Rattus norvegicus: one gene and its partners. The protein of the gene in region 2 interacts with the protein of the main gene of each other region in a pairwise test. Links are inferred from orthologs where the notes say so. Each region holds a gene or a part of one and is shown on either strand. Other genes may lie near its edges.

Region 1 (3,651 bases), on a different chromosome or scaffold from region 2:
AATATGGTCATTCCTAAGGCATAAACAGAGTAGAACAGAGTAGTTTAGGAACAAACAAAGCATAAACAAAGGTCCCATGATTGCTGTACTCAGGGTCTTAACAAAGAACATATTTCTCAGCTATATTCATCTTGAGCCTACTTCCTTGTCCTAGCCAAATGTCAAATTCTTGCCAAATTTCTAGAAGCAGCTCCAAGAGCTCTTCACCTCTGTCCATCTGTCTGCCTGCCTGCCTGCCTGCCTGCTTATCTACCTATCTATCTACTTTGAAGACTTGGCTGTCCTGGAACTTACTATTTAGAATAGACTGGCCTCAAACTTTAGAAATTCATGTATCTCAGCCTTCAAGTGCTGGATTAACGATGTGCACCATCATGTCCTGCTCTATCTCATTTTATGTTCACATTGCTTTGAACACTATCGAGAATTTGTTCAATGGCTTTGTCTTGGTGTGTGCGTGCGTTTAGACACATGTATGTATTTGTGGTAATGTGTAGTTGCACATGTGTTTGGAGGCCAGAGGTGACAGTCAGGTATCTTCCTAAGTTGCTCTTCACCCTGTATTTCATGACAATGTCTCTTACTAAACTTTAAGTTCACGAATTTCACTTGACTGACTGGGCAGCAATCCCCATGCATCTTTCTTTTATTTCCATCTCCCCAGTGCTCAGTTTATAGGTTCCTGTGCATCACCCAGCTTTTAAATGGGTGCTATTACAAGCACTCTGCCAACTAAGCCATTTCCCCTGTTTAGTATTTTTTGTGGGGTTTGTAGTTTGGTTTTTGGTGTTGGAAATTGAATTTGAGGTCTTACACATACTAGTAAGTATATGTTGTACTTAGAGCTGTTTTCAGTCATGTTTCTCTCTGCCATTGACTTACAAGAGAATACTTTTTTTCCCTTTAGTTCAACACAATGCAATATCGTTTAACCTTACAAGCAAAATTTATTCATGTGTTACTCATGTCAGGGACAGGTAGCAGCATTAGGACTTCAGAATACTGAATGATTTTGGAGTAGGTACAATTTGGCACATAACGCTTGAATGATTTATTGCTATCCATTCATCGGACCATAATTATAGCTGGAACTGATAAGAAGCAAAAGTGTGACAACTCTTCAGAGATGTTTTTCTTAGGACAGACTGAAGACATTAAAGAGAATAGTTCAAATCACACTGTCGGTGGGGGAAGATCTCGGGTTTCTTCAGTTTCTAGTTCATCATGAATTATAGAGACACAGGGTCTCACTATGCAGCTCTGGCTGTCTTGGAACTCTGTGTAGACTAGTTTGGCCTTGAATTTGAGGTCCCCCTGCCTCTGCTTCTCATGCACTTAGGCACCTAGTGCCTGTGAAGCTCAAGAGGGTGTTGGATCCCCAGGAGCCGAAGTTACCATTGTGAGCTGCCATGTTGGTGGTGGGAACTGTACATAGGTCCTCTATAAGAACAGCAGGCACTCCTAACCTTGAGCCATTTCTCCAGCCCAAGAATACACTGTTTATACAGTCTACATGTTGTAATGTTTATCTCTTGACTTAACCCCTTTCTACAGTTTTAAACTTGAGTATCATTAGTATTGGAATTCTGAGATAAATTATTTTTAAAGGAGAGGTTAAAAACATGACTATTCTCTCTTTTTTAATCATAGGAAATGTGCAACATTCAATTAGCCGAAAACAAAGCTGGAAAGGTTCTAAAGAGTCTTTAGTTCCTCAGAGACACGGTCCATCTCTAGGAGAAAATGTGGTTTATCGATCTGAAAGTCCCAACTCACAGGCGGATGTAGGAAGACCTCTGTCTGGATCCGGCATTACGGCATTTGCTCAAGCTCACCCAAGCAATGGACAGAGAGTGAACCCACCACCACCACCTCAAGTTAGGAGTGTTACTCCTCCACCACCTCCACGAGGGCAGACCCCACCTCCACGAGGCACAACTCCCCCTCCCCCCTCGTGGGAGCCTAACTCTCAGACAAAGCGCTACTCTGGGAACATGGAATATGTAATCTCCCGAATCTCTCCTGTTCCACCTGGGGCGTGGCAGGAGGGCTACCCTCCACCACCTCTTAACACTTCCCCCATGAATCCCCCCAACCAGGGACAGAGAGGCATCAGTTCTGTTCCAGTTGGCAGGCAACCAATCATCATGCAAAGTACTAGCAAATTTAACTTTACACCAGGGAGACCTGGAGTTCAGAATGGTGGTGGTCAGACTGATTTTATCATGCACCAAAATGTTGTCCCCACTGGTGCTGTGAATCGGCAACCACCACCACCATATCCTCTGACCCCAGCTAATGGACAAAGCCCTTCTGCTTTGCAAGCAGGCGGTCCTGCTGCTCCACCATCATTCTCCAATGGAAATGTTCCTCCAACGATGATGGTGCCGAACAGGAACAGTCATAACATGGAGCTGTATAATATCAATGTCCCTGGACTGCAAACAACTTGGCCCCAGTCGTCTTCTGCCCCTGTGCAATCATCTCCAAGCAGTGGGCATGAAATTCCTACGTGGCAACCTAACATACCAGTGAGGTCAAATTCTTTTAATAACCCACTAGGAAGTAGAGCAAGTCACTCTGCTAATTCTCAGCCTTCCGCCACGACAGTTACTGCCATCACACCAGCTCCTATTCAGCAGCCCGTGAAAAGCATGCGCGTTCTGAAACCAGAGCTGCAGACTGCCTTAGCCCCAACCCATCCTTCTTGGATGCCACAGCCAGTTCAGACCGTTCAGCCTAGCCCTTTTTCTGAGGGTGCAGCTTCAAACGTGCCAGTCATCCCACCTGTGGCGGAAGCTCCAAGCTATCAGGGCCCACCACCACCTTATCCAAAACATCTGCTACACCAAACCCCATCTGTTCCTCCATATGAGTCAGCGAGTAAACCCTGCAAAGACGATCAGCCTAGCTCAGCCAAGGAAGAGGATAGTGAAAAGAGTTTGGACAGTGTTGACTCTGGGGATAAAGAGAAGAAACAGATTACAACTTCACCTATCACTGTTCGGAAAAACAAGAAAGACGAAGAGCGAAGAGAGTCTCGCATTCAGAGTTACTCCCCGCAGGCCTTTAAATTCTTCATGGAGCAACACGTAGAGAACGTCCTGAAGTCTCATCAGCAGCGTCTGCATCGCAAGAAGCAACTAGAGAATGAAATGATGCGGGTAAAACTTTAAAATATTCTCACACTTAATCATCTCGTGCCTTGGTATTTTAAAATCCTAGGCTCCAGTGTTCTTGTAGTAAATGTAGTGTATTGTCAATAATGTGAGTAAACTGGGAGAATTTTGATGATAGCATTTTCAGTGATTATTCAGCATTTCTTATAGAACTTTTAAATTATATATATATATATAAAGTATATGAAATATGGAAATTGAAACGAGGTTTAATTTTTACTTTGTTTTTTTTTTTTTTCCTCCAAGACAGGGCTTTACTTTGTACCCTTGGCTGTCCTGGAACTCACTCTATAGATCAGTCCGGACTTTAACTCACATAGATTTACCTGCCTCTGCCTCCCAAATGCTGGGATTAAAGGCATATGCTACCAATATCCAACAGGTTCTAGATTTTATACATTATTTTACAACATACACAAGTCAGATAGAAATATCTGAGTTACCTCTTGATACATATAGAAAGCATTGTCAT
Region 2 (4,085 bases):
ATTCGGATAAAGTAGTCAGTCCTCTTGTCCCCCCCCCCCTTTTTTTTTTAAAGTCTCTGTTCCACCACAACTTCCTGAGACGAGACCTGTGAAGAAACTGCAGTCTTAGGTCAGCCACTAAACAGCACTGACAGTCTTGTAATAAGAGAAACCGGTGACTCGTTTTACGTGTCAATCAGTTGGAGTCTGCTGATCTGATTAGAAGCCTTGACAAATGCCTGGTGGCGATTGCAGATAATTGCCAAGCATATGGGAATAATACAGTAGCCCACCGTTTTAGGATCCGCTCTCGTACAAGAATAAAGGAACAAAAACATCTGTAAGTACGGTATCAAGAAAATAACTGTCCACAACCAGAAGGGCAGGGAAAGTAACCGAGCTTTCAAGGAGTGTGTCCATGTGGTTCCTTCCCTTGGCTCCTCAGGGTGCTGCTGAATGTGTTCCAAAGCCAACCTGTTGTAAGTCTCATTGATTTCAAAAACATAATAAAACGCTGCTGCACTTGCTAGCAAATACAATCCCACTCCAATCCATCCCATCCGCTGACGGAAGTTCATCATTCTCCATGCTCTGTGCCTTCAATGTAAACACAGGAAAATTATAGTTAGGGTCTAGTAATGGTGCCACACCAAGTATTCCAAGTGCACTTGATTTAACATCTGTAAACAACTTATAGGTGGTTTTATATAACAATTGTGAGCACATAAAAATACTGGTTTCCGTATATATTGAGTACTGTTATTTATGAGAACCCCAGAGTGAATGAATCATCACATCTTGCTTGAGTAGACCCAGTACACTTTCAGATAATGAAAACGAGTTTCCCCACAGGACATTGCACTTGACAGTTGAAATGCTTTCTGGCTTAACACTATTATTTCAGACATGAGCACTGGGTTGGGTTCTGCTCATTAAACCAGTGTCGGAGTCCCCAAGTTAAGACGGTAACTCTTTCAAACACTTACAGTGGTCCCGAAAATCTTGCTGTTCCCCCTGCAAGCGTGCAAGAGTCACTCAGTTCTGAATAGTCAGGTGCCTTTGGCATTTCAGAACAAGCCACTTAAGAGAAACCCTCTCGGTCGCGCAGAAGAAGAAGGTGAGCGCGGCCGGCGGGAGCACGAGCTAGTAGTGATTAAGCTCAGCGTGACTCCGGCTAGTCACGCGGCGGCGGGCCCGGTCGCCCTCTGGATCTCCAGGCAGGGGAAACCACCTGGAGATGCCTGGCCACGGGACCTCCGGGCCCGCCCCCCACAGCTCCCGCCGCCGTGCCTGGGCTGGGCAGTGGTGCCAGGCCTGGCCTGCAGAGCCCGGAGCTCGGCTCCCGGCTAAACGCCGGGCCAGCCTGACAGCCAAGCTGAGCAACCCGGGTCTCACCTTCCTGTCCTGAGTGGCCCGCCCGCTCGCAGTCCCGGATACCGCCGCAGTCAGAGCTTCCGTCTTGGGCCGGAAACGCGCGCCAGTCTCTCGTGACGTCAGGCTGTCTACTTCGCGCCGCCTCCGGAGGCGGTTGTCTGCTCCCTGGGGCGTTTGCGGCGGTGGCGGTCTCCTACCATGGCGGGGAAACGGGCGTAGGGAGCCCGTGTCCTCCATCGCCGCATTGGGGACGTGATCCCCTGGTGTCTCCTGATGCCCGCAAAGGTCAGACGCCCTCTCCGGAGCCTGAGCGGTGCGTCTGTAGGCAGGTGGTCTGCAGACCTCATGTGGTTCGTATATGAGCGCAGAGGGTGGGTAGAGGAACTGCTCAGGAGTCAAGGCACCGTTAACTTACACGGATGCTCTGTTTTCTCAGGCTCCTGGACCTCTGCGTATTAGAGAGACGAGCACGCACATCTCTGAGCTGCGGTGGGGCGGCGGCGGTGCCCTGGTCGAGTTAGGATTTAAATACCCTGGACACCATGACACTGAGACTCTTAGAAGACTGGTGCAGGGGGATGGACATGAACCCTCGGAAGGCACTGTTGGTTGCCGGCATCCCTCCGACCTGCGGAGTGGCAGACATCGAGGAGGCCCTGCAGGTTGGCCTTGCTCCCTTAGGGGAGCACAGACTGCTTGGGAGGATGTTTAGGAGGGATGAGAACAAGAATGTAGCCTTGGTTGGGCTCACAGTAGAGACCGGCAGTGCCCTAGTCCCCAAGGAGATACCTGCAAAAGGAGGTGTCTGGAGAGTGATCTTTAAGCCTCCAGATGCTGATAGTGACTTTTTATGCAGATTAAATGAGTTTTTAAAGGGAGAGGGCATGACAATGGGTGAATTAACCAGAGTTCTTGGGAATCGGAATGACCCTCTCTGCCTAGACCAGAATGTGATGATCCCTGAAATTCGAGCACCCATGTTAGCACAGGCATTAGATGAGGCTCTTAAGCCTACCCTGCAGTATCTGAGGTACAAAAAGCTGAGTGTGTTCTCAGGCAGGGATCCTCCGGGACCAGGTGAGGAAGAATTTGAATCTTGGATGTTTCATACTTCCCAAGTAATGAAAACATGGCAGGTGTCAGATGTAGAGAAAAGAAGGCGGTTGATGGAGAGCCTTAGAGGCCCAGCATTCGAAATTATTCGAGTCCTCAAGATAAACAACCCGTTCATTACCGTTGCAGAATGCCTGAAGACGCTTGAGACAATATTTGGGATTATTGATAATCCTAGGGCCTTGCAGGTCAGATACCTTACTACTTACCAGAAGAGTGGTGAAAAGCTCTCTGCCTATGTTCTGAGGTTGGAGCCTTTATTACAGAAGCTGGTGCAGAAAGGAGCAATTGAGAAAGAAGTTGTGAATCAGGCCCGACTAGACCAAGTCATTGCTGGGGCAATCCACAAGTCAGTTCGAAGAGAGCTTGGACTGCCAGAAGGTAGCCCTGCCCCAGGCTTATTGCAGTTGCTGACACTGATAAAAGATAAGGAGGCAGCAGAGGAAGAGGTCCTTCTTCAGGCCGAATTAGAAGGACATTTCACTTGACCCAAGACCAGCAAGGCTGTCATGAGCAGAACATGATGGAGGAGCTCATAGAAGTGATCAGCCCATCCCCCTTTGTGCTGCCAAAGTAACTTGCCCTTTGTCGTGTTGTTCACCCCACTGAATGTCTCCCCAGTGTTTTACTGATACAAATGATGTCATTCTACACTGGTAATTATTTAAATCAAAAGGTCATCTAGTACAGTGTTCTGCAAAGCTGGAGTTTATATGCATGTTTAATAGTCTTATGTGATGGTGCTGTCCGTTAAAAATAATTTTCAGGTGTTGCCCACATTTATGCTGAAGACCCCGAGCCAAGGCTAGCTAAGTTATTTAAAGTTTCTTTATTATAAATCAGTTATTGATTCTGTGCAATCAAAAATCACAACTGAGTGCTGTGGTCAATTCTACAACTATCTTTAGGTTTGTGATATATCTGATGTGTTGCCAAAGGGTCTGCTTCTAAATGTCATTTTCTTAGAGTCATAGTATAAATAAAGAAATGCTAATAATAAAATGTTTGATCTTTGTATACCTTGGGGGTTCCAAGATAATGCATTTGATAAAAAATAATTGTTTTTGAGACAGAGTTTCTCTGTGTAGCCCTAGCTGTGCAGACTTACTCTGTAGATCTGGCTGGCCTCAAACTCAGATCTGCCTCCTGAGTGCTGGGTAAAGGCTTGCACCACTGCACCTGGCTGAGAGAAGCTTTTATAGTACGAATCTGAAAGCCACTGAGGTTACAGGCTTAATTCTTTGGACTCTTGGTACCTAGGGGGTAGTAACTTGATTGTTTGACAGGAACCAGACTACACAGATTATGGCAAGTAGTGGGCCCATCAATACTCATTTCAAAGGGAGAAAGGAAAGATGAATTTTATGTTTTTCTAATCCTGGTGCTATATACCTATAATCCCACTGCTTAACAAGTAAAGCCAAAGTCAGGAAGATTGGCCTTTCAAAGCCAGCCCAAACTACAGGGTGAGACCTTGCCTCAAAAGACAAAGTTCTACATATAGGGAAACTAAAATCACACTGGGGAAATAGGTGTATGTCCAAGATGAATGAAGCTGGTAGTAATAAAAGCTGTTCTCATTCTTGCAAGGCTGGTATTCTCTCCACTGCTAAGGGAGG
Region 3 (3,651 bases), on a different chromosome or scaffold from region 2:
CTGCTGTTTTAGGTTTTCACGCAGCCTCGTCAGGATCTCTTGTGTCTAAGCCCTGCCAACAGAAAGCATACCATTTGTTCTTTTCTTCCGTAATTGAAGCCAGAGCCTGTTGCTTGTACACAAATCGATGCATAAAGGGCATGGCATTGTTGCCTGCCGGATCAATAGTCCCATGTCAGCACTTGTGCAGCTCCTTCAGAACTGTCGTCAAGTGGCACATGATACCCACCCAAAAAATGTAATTTTTTATTTTTCTATTTCAAAGTTTAGTGTAGTGTGATGTAGAAAGATCAAGGACTTGAAATCATACATAGGTTGAATTCAAGCTTTGGGCTTTAGGGAAGTCACTAGATCACTGTATTCTCTTTAATATGTGCATGAAATGGTTCTGCAGATTCAGATGACAGTGCTAGCTGTCTTTGTTGATGGCTTTGAAGCAATTAGTGGATAGTTAATGGGAGCTGTTAACAATTTTGAGTTTTGCCAATATTCTTTTCCATTACATTTTGAGTCCGTTTTAAAGGAAAATATAACATGTCTATATGAATATGTATCATATAGAACATTATGTTAATGTTTTCTCGGATTTTTTTTTCTTTTTTTTTCTTTTCGGAGCTGGGGACCGAACCCAGGGCCTTGTGCTTGCTAGGCAAGTGCTCTACCACTGAGCTAAATCCCCAACCCCGTTTTCTCAGATTTTTATCTCTGTTAAATGTATGAAATATTTATTACTCTGTGGTCAGAACAGTTAATTGAATGTCTTATTTGCCTTTATATTTTCATGACTTCAATTTTAACACCTGACCATGAAATGTAAGAATTTTCTCAATATTCCCCGTATTTGTCATGGTTCTTGGTAATTTTCCACACAGTGTGGTTAAGGTGCCATGAATAGCCTCAACATGAAAATACTATAACACAGAATGCATTTGTTCTTTCCCTAGTTCAAATTATGTTTTAACTGATGAGCAATCACTCTGGATTGAAGATACTACCAAGTCAGTCTACCAAGTAAGTCCAACATGCAACAACCCATGATTGAAAAAATGGAAATTTAGAATTTTCTTTGTTTCAGCCCCAAATAGGAAAATAAGGATAAAGTTAAGCTCAGGTACAAGAACACAAACACTTCTTGGTTCTCTGCCTACAAACCACTCCTATGATGCAGAAAGTTGTTGAAACCTTAGTATATTCTTTCTAATCACAGCTGCTATCTGAAAATCCCCCTGATGGAGAAAGATTTTCAAAGATGGTAGAGGTATGTATTTGATCATTAGTTTTCTTATTACTGAATTATGATTTCAAAATATTGTTATGCAGAGATGTCTCTTGTTTATCCTAGCATATATTAAACACTGAAGAAAATTGGAACTCATGGAAAAATGAAGGTTGCCCAAGTTTTGTGAAAGAAAGGTAATAAGTTGATTGAACACAGGATAAGTTGGTGTTATTGAAAATGCTGTGTCTGTTTGCCCTACAATGCAGTTATTTTGTCTTCTGTCTGATAAGTGTTCTATCATACTATGAAGCATTTATATTTTAGGGTAAAAGAAATACTTAGCTCCCAAAACTTACAGTTTTGCTGTAAGTAGAATTAAATAAATACAGGAGCTTGTGCACATTAGGCAAATGCTTAACACACATCCATATACAGTCCCCAGAATATGAATGTTTTGTTCACAGAGCATCAGATACCAAGCCCACAAGAGTGGTACGGAAGAGAGCAGCCCCAGAAGACTTCTTAGGCAAAGGGCCCAATAAGAAAATCCTGATTGGAAAGTATGTTACTCATTTTCCTATGTTCTTGATTGCTATTTGAAAATATTATGAATAGAACTCTCCAGTTTGGCTGAGGAGATAGCTCAGCTGTTAAGGCTAGGCTCATAACCAAAAAGACAGAAACTCTGTACATGAACTTGTATTTTGTGTGTGTGTGTGTGTGTGTGTGTGTGTGTGTGTGTGTAACTAAAGCTAACCATAGCCCGTTGCTCAAAACTGTCATTATGTGAATTCATGTAACTACTTAAGCCTTCCTGTTGTCTCCCACTTTGAAAGCCCTTGGCTTTAGGCTCTGCCATCTTTTCTGTGTCATGGACAGTACAACTGTCTGGGCCAGTGCAGTTCACTTATATTTACTGAAAGGGTACTGATCATTCAGGTCTGTCACCTTTCAGTTAATCCTCCATTCTTCATTATTATTGAATAGTTTCTGAGAAATGGTTATAATTATATACTTACATAGAAATGACTATCACCACCCCCAGACCCACTACTTATGTTACATATGCAGTTTTATGACATACTGTGAGGATGCTATCAATACAAAATTATGTCTGCCTTATTTTGTAGTGAGGAGCTAACAAGGCTTTGGAATCTCTGTCCTGATAACATGGAAGCCTGTAAATCAGAGACAAGGCAAGTGTAAAACTTTTATTAGTTTTCTCAATGTTCAGTGAAGTATAATAAAATCTTTCCTTAGGAATGATCAAAGCTTAAAAGTTTATTGTGGTTAAATTTGGGCCTGGCAGAATATGGTTTACTTTAAAACACTTAAAAATGCTGATAAATTTTTAGAAATCATAAAAAAATAAAAGTTTCACAAAGAAATGGGAACTCAACACCAAAAGAGTAACTTAGTTAGGGTTGACTTGGTATTCCAAGAGAGTAAGCAGTGAGGTGGTCCAGTCTCACAGAGATACTCACAGAGATACGCAGAGATGCAGGAGACGAGCCTAGGTTTGGTCTCCTGACTTAGGAGACGCCGCCCGCAAAGGAAGGGAAGCAGCGGAAGGCAAGAGCAGGACACACTTCCCTGGAAGTGGAAATGGAAACCTTTGGTTTCCTGAGAAACAAGAACATGTCATGTAGCTCACATTTCCAGGACCAGCCGCAATTGGGAACCCAAAGCTAAAATTGTCAGCTAGGAAATCGTAGGCTGGTGGTAAAACCTGTCTGAAGGTCAGACCTCCAGATGGAGCTCTTAACACAGGGAAAAGCCTAAAAAACTTATCATCCAAATTTACAGTCAAGGAAACAATCTACCATGAGTTTCATAAAGAATCAAAAGAGATGGCTCAGTGGTTAATAATGCTGGCTGTTCTTCCAGAGGACCCGAGATCTATTCATCACACTCATTCTCTCCAGTCCTAGGGGATCCAACACCCTCTTCTGGCACCAAGGACACAAGTGGTACACAGATGTACATGAAGACAAAATACTCATACATACTCATAAATAAGTAAATAAAGCTAGAATCAGGTAAAGGCTGTAGAGTTATTTTTCAGATAATTAAGAAGTAGCAGCTAAAAACAAGAAAAACTTGGCACTGTCAAAAAGACCAGATAATCAGATGTGGTGGTAGCTCATTACTGTAATCCCATCAGCTGGAGACTTGTTAAAAAATAATACAATACAGAGTTGAGCAAAAACCCAGCAGAGAGAACACATGGGTGTGAAAGAAGCACTGCTTAAGATCAGGACGAAATAGTCATAATTCATAAATTTCGTTCAAGATGTCTATGTATGTGAAAAATGAAGGATGAATGAAAAGAGAAAACAGGTTACAAAAGTAAAATTAAACTAACAGCAGGCTTCAGAAACAAAATCAGAAGACAGTGGAATAAGAGCCTCAAAGAACTGTAATAACAGTAT

The links.
Region 1: the proteins of Moap1 (region 2) and Lats1 interact in a two-hybrid assay, tested with the Homo sapiens proteins (2 studies listed by BioGRID and IntAct). The two-hybrid records come from large-scale screens. The link is inferred for Rattus norvegicus from reciprocal best matches to the Homo sapiens genes MOAP1 and LATS1.
Region 3: the proteins of Moap1 (region 2) and Thoc1 interact in binary tests that used the Homo sapiens proteins (3 or more experiments, as listed by UniProt). The two-hybrid records come from large-scale screens. The link is inferred for Rattus norvegicus from reciprocal best matches to the Homo sapiens genes MOAP1 and THOC1.

Annotation. Positions count from the first base shown.
Region 1 is NC_086019.1:3,997,762-4,001,412, forward strand, and holds part of Lats1 (serine/threonine-protein kinase LATS1), read left to right. Parts: intron 1-1,650; coding exon 1,651-3,164; intron 3,165-3,651. UniProt on the Homo sapiens protein: Negative regulator of YAP1 in the Hippo signaling pathway that plays a pivotal role in organ size control and tumor suppression by restricting proliferation and promoting apoptosis.
Region 2 is NC_086024.1:127,646,767-127,650,851, reverse strand, and holds Moap1 (modulator of apoptosis 1), read left to right. Parts: upstream 1-1,527; 5' UTR 1,528-1,666; intron 1,667-1,789; coding exon of another isoform or gene 1,790-1,812; 5' UTR 1,813-1,895; coding exon 1,896-2,954; 3' UTR 2,955-3,463; downstream 3,464-4,085. Other genes in the region: Lyset (lysosomal enzyme trafficking factor), read right to left, coding at 165-576, 966-1,045.
Region 3 is NC_086036.1:1,284,143-1,287,793, forward strand, and holds part of Thoc1 (THO complex subunit 1), read left to right. Parts: intron 1-944; coding exon 945-1,011; intron 1,012-1,207; coding exon 1,208-1,258; intron 1,259-1,342; coding exon 1,343-1,413; intron 1,414-1,683; coding exon 1,684-1,779; intron 1,780-2,349; coding exon 2,350-2,415; intron 2,416-3,651. UniProt on the Homo sapiens protein: Component of the THO subcomplex of the TREX complex which is thought to couple mRNA transcription, processing and nuclear export, and which specifically associates with spliced mRNA and not with unspliced pre-mRNA.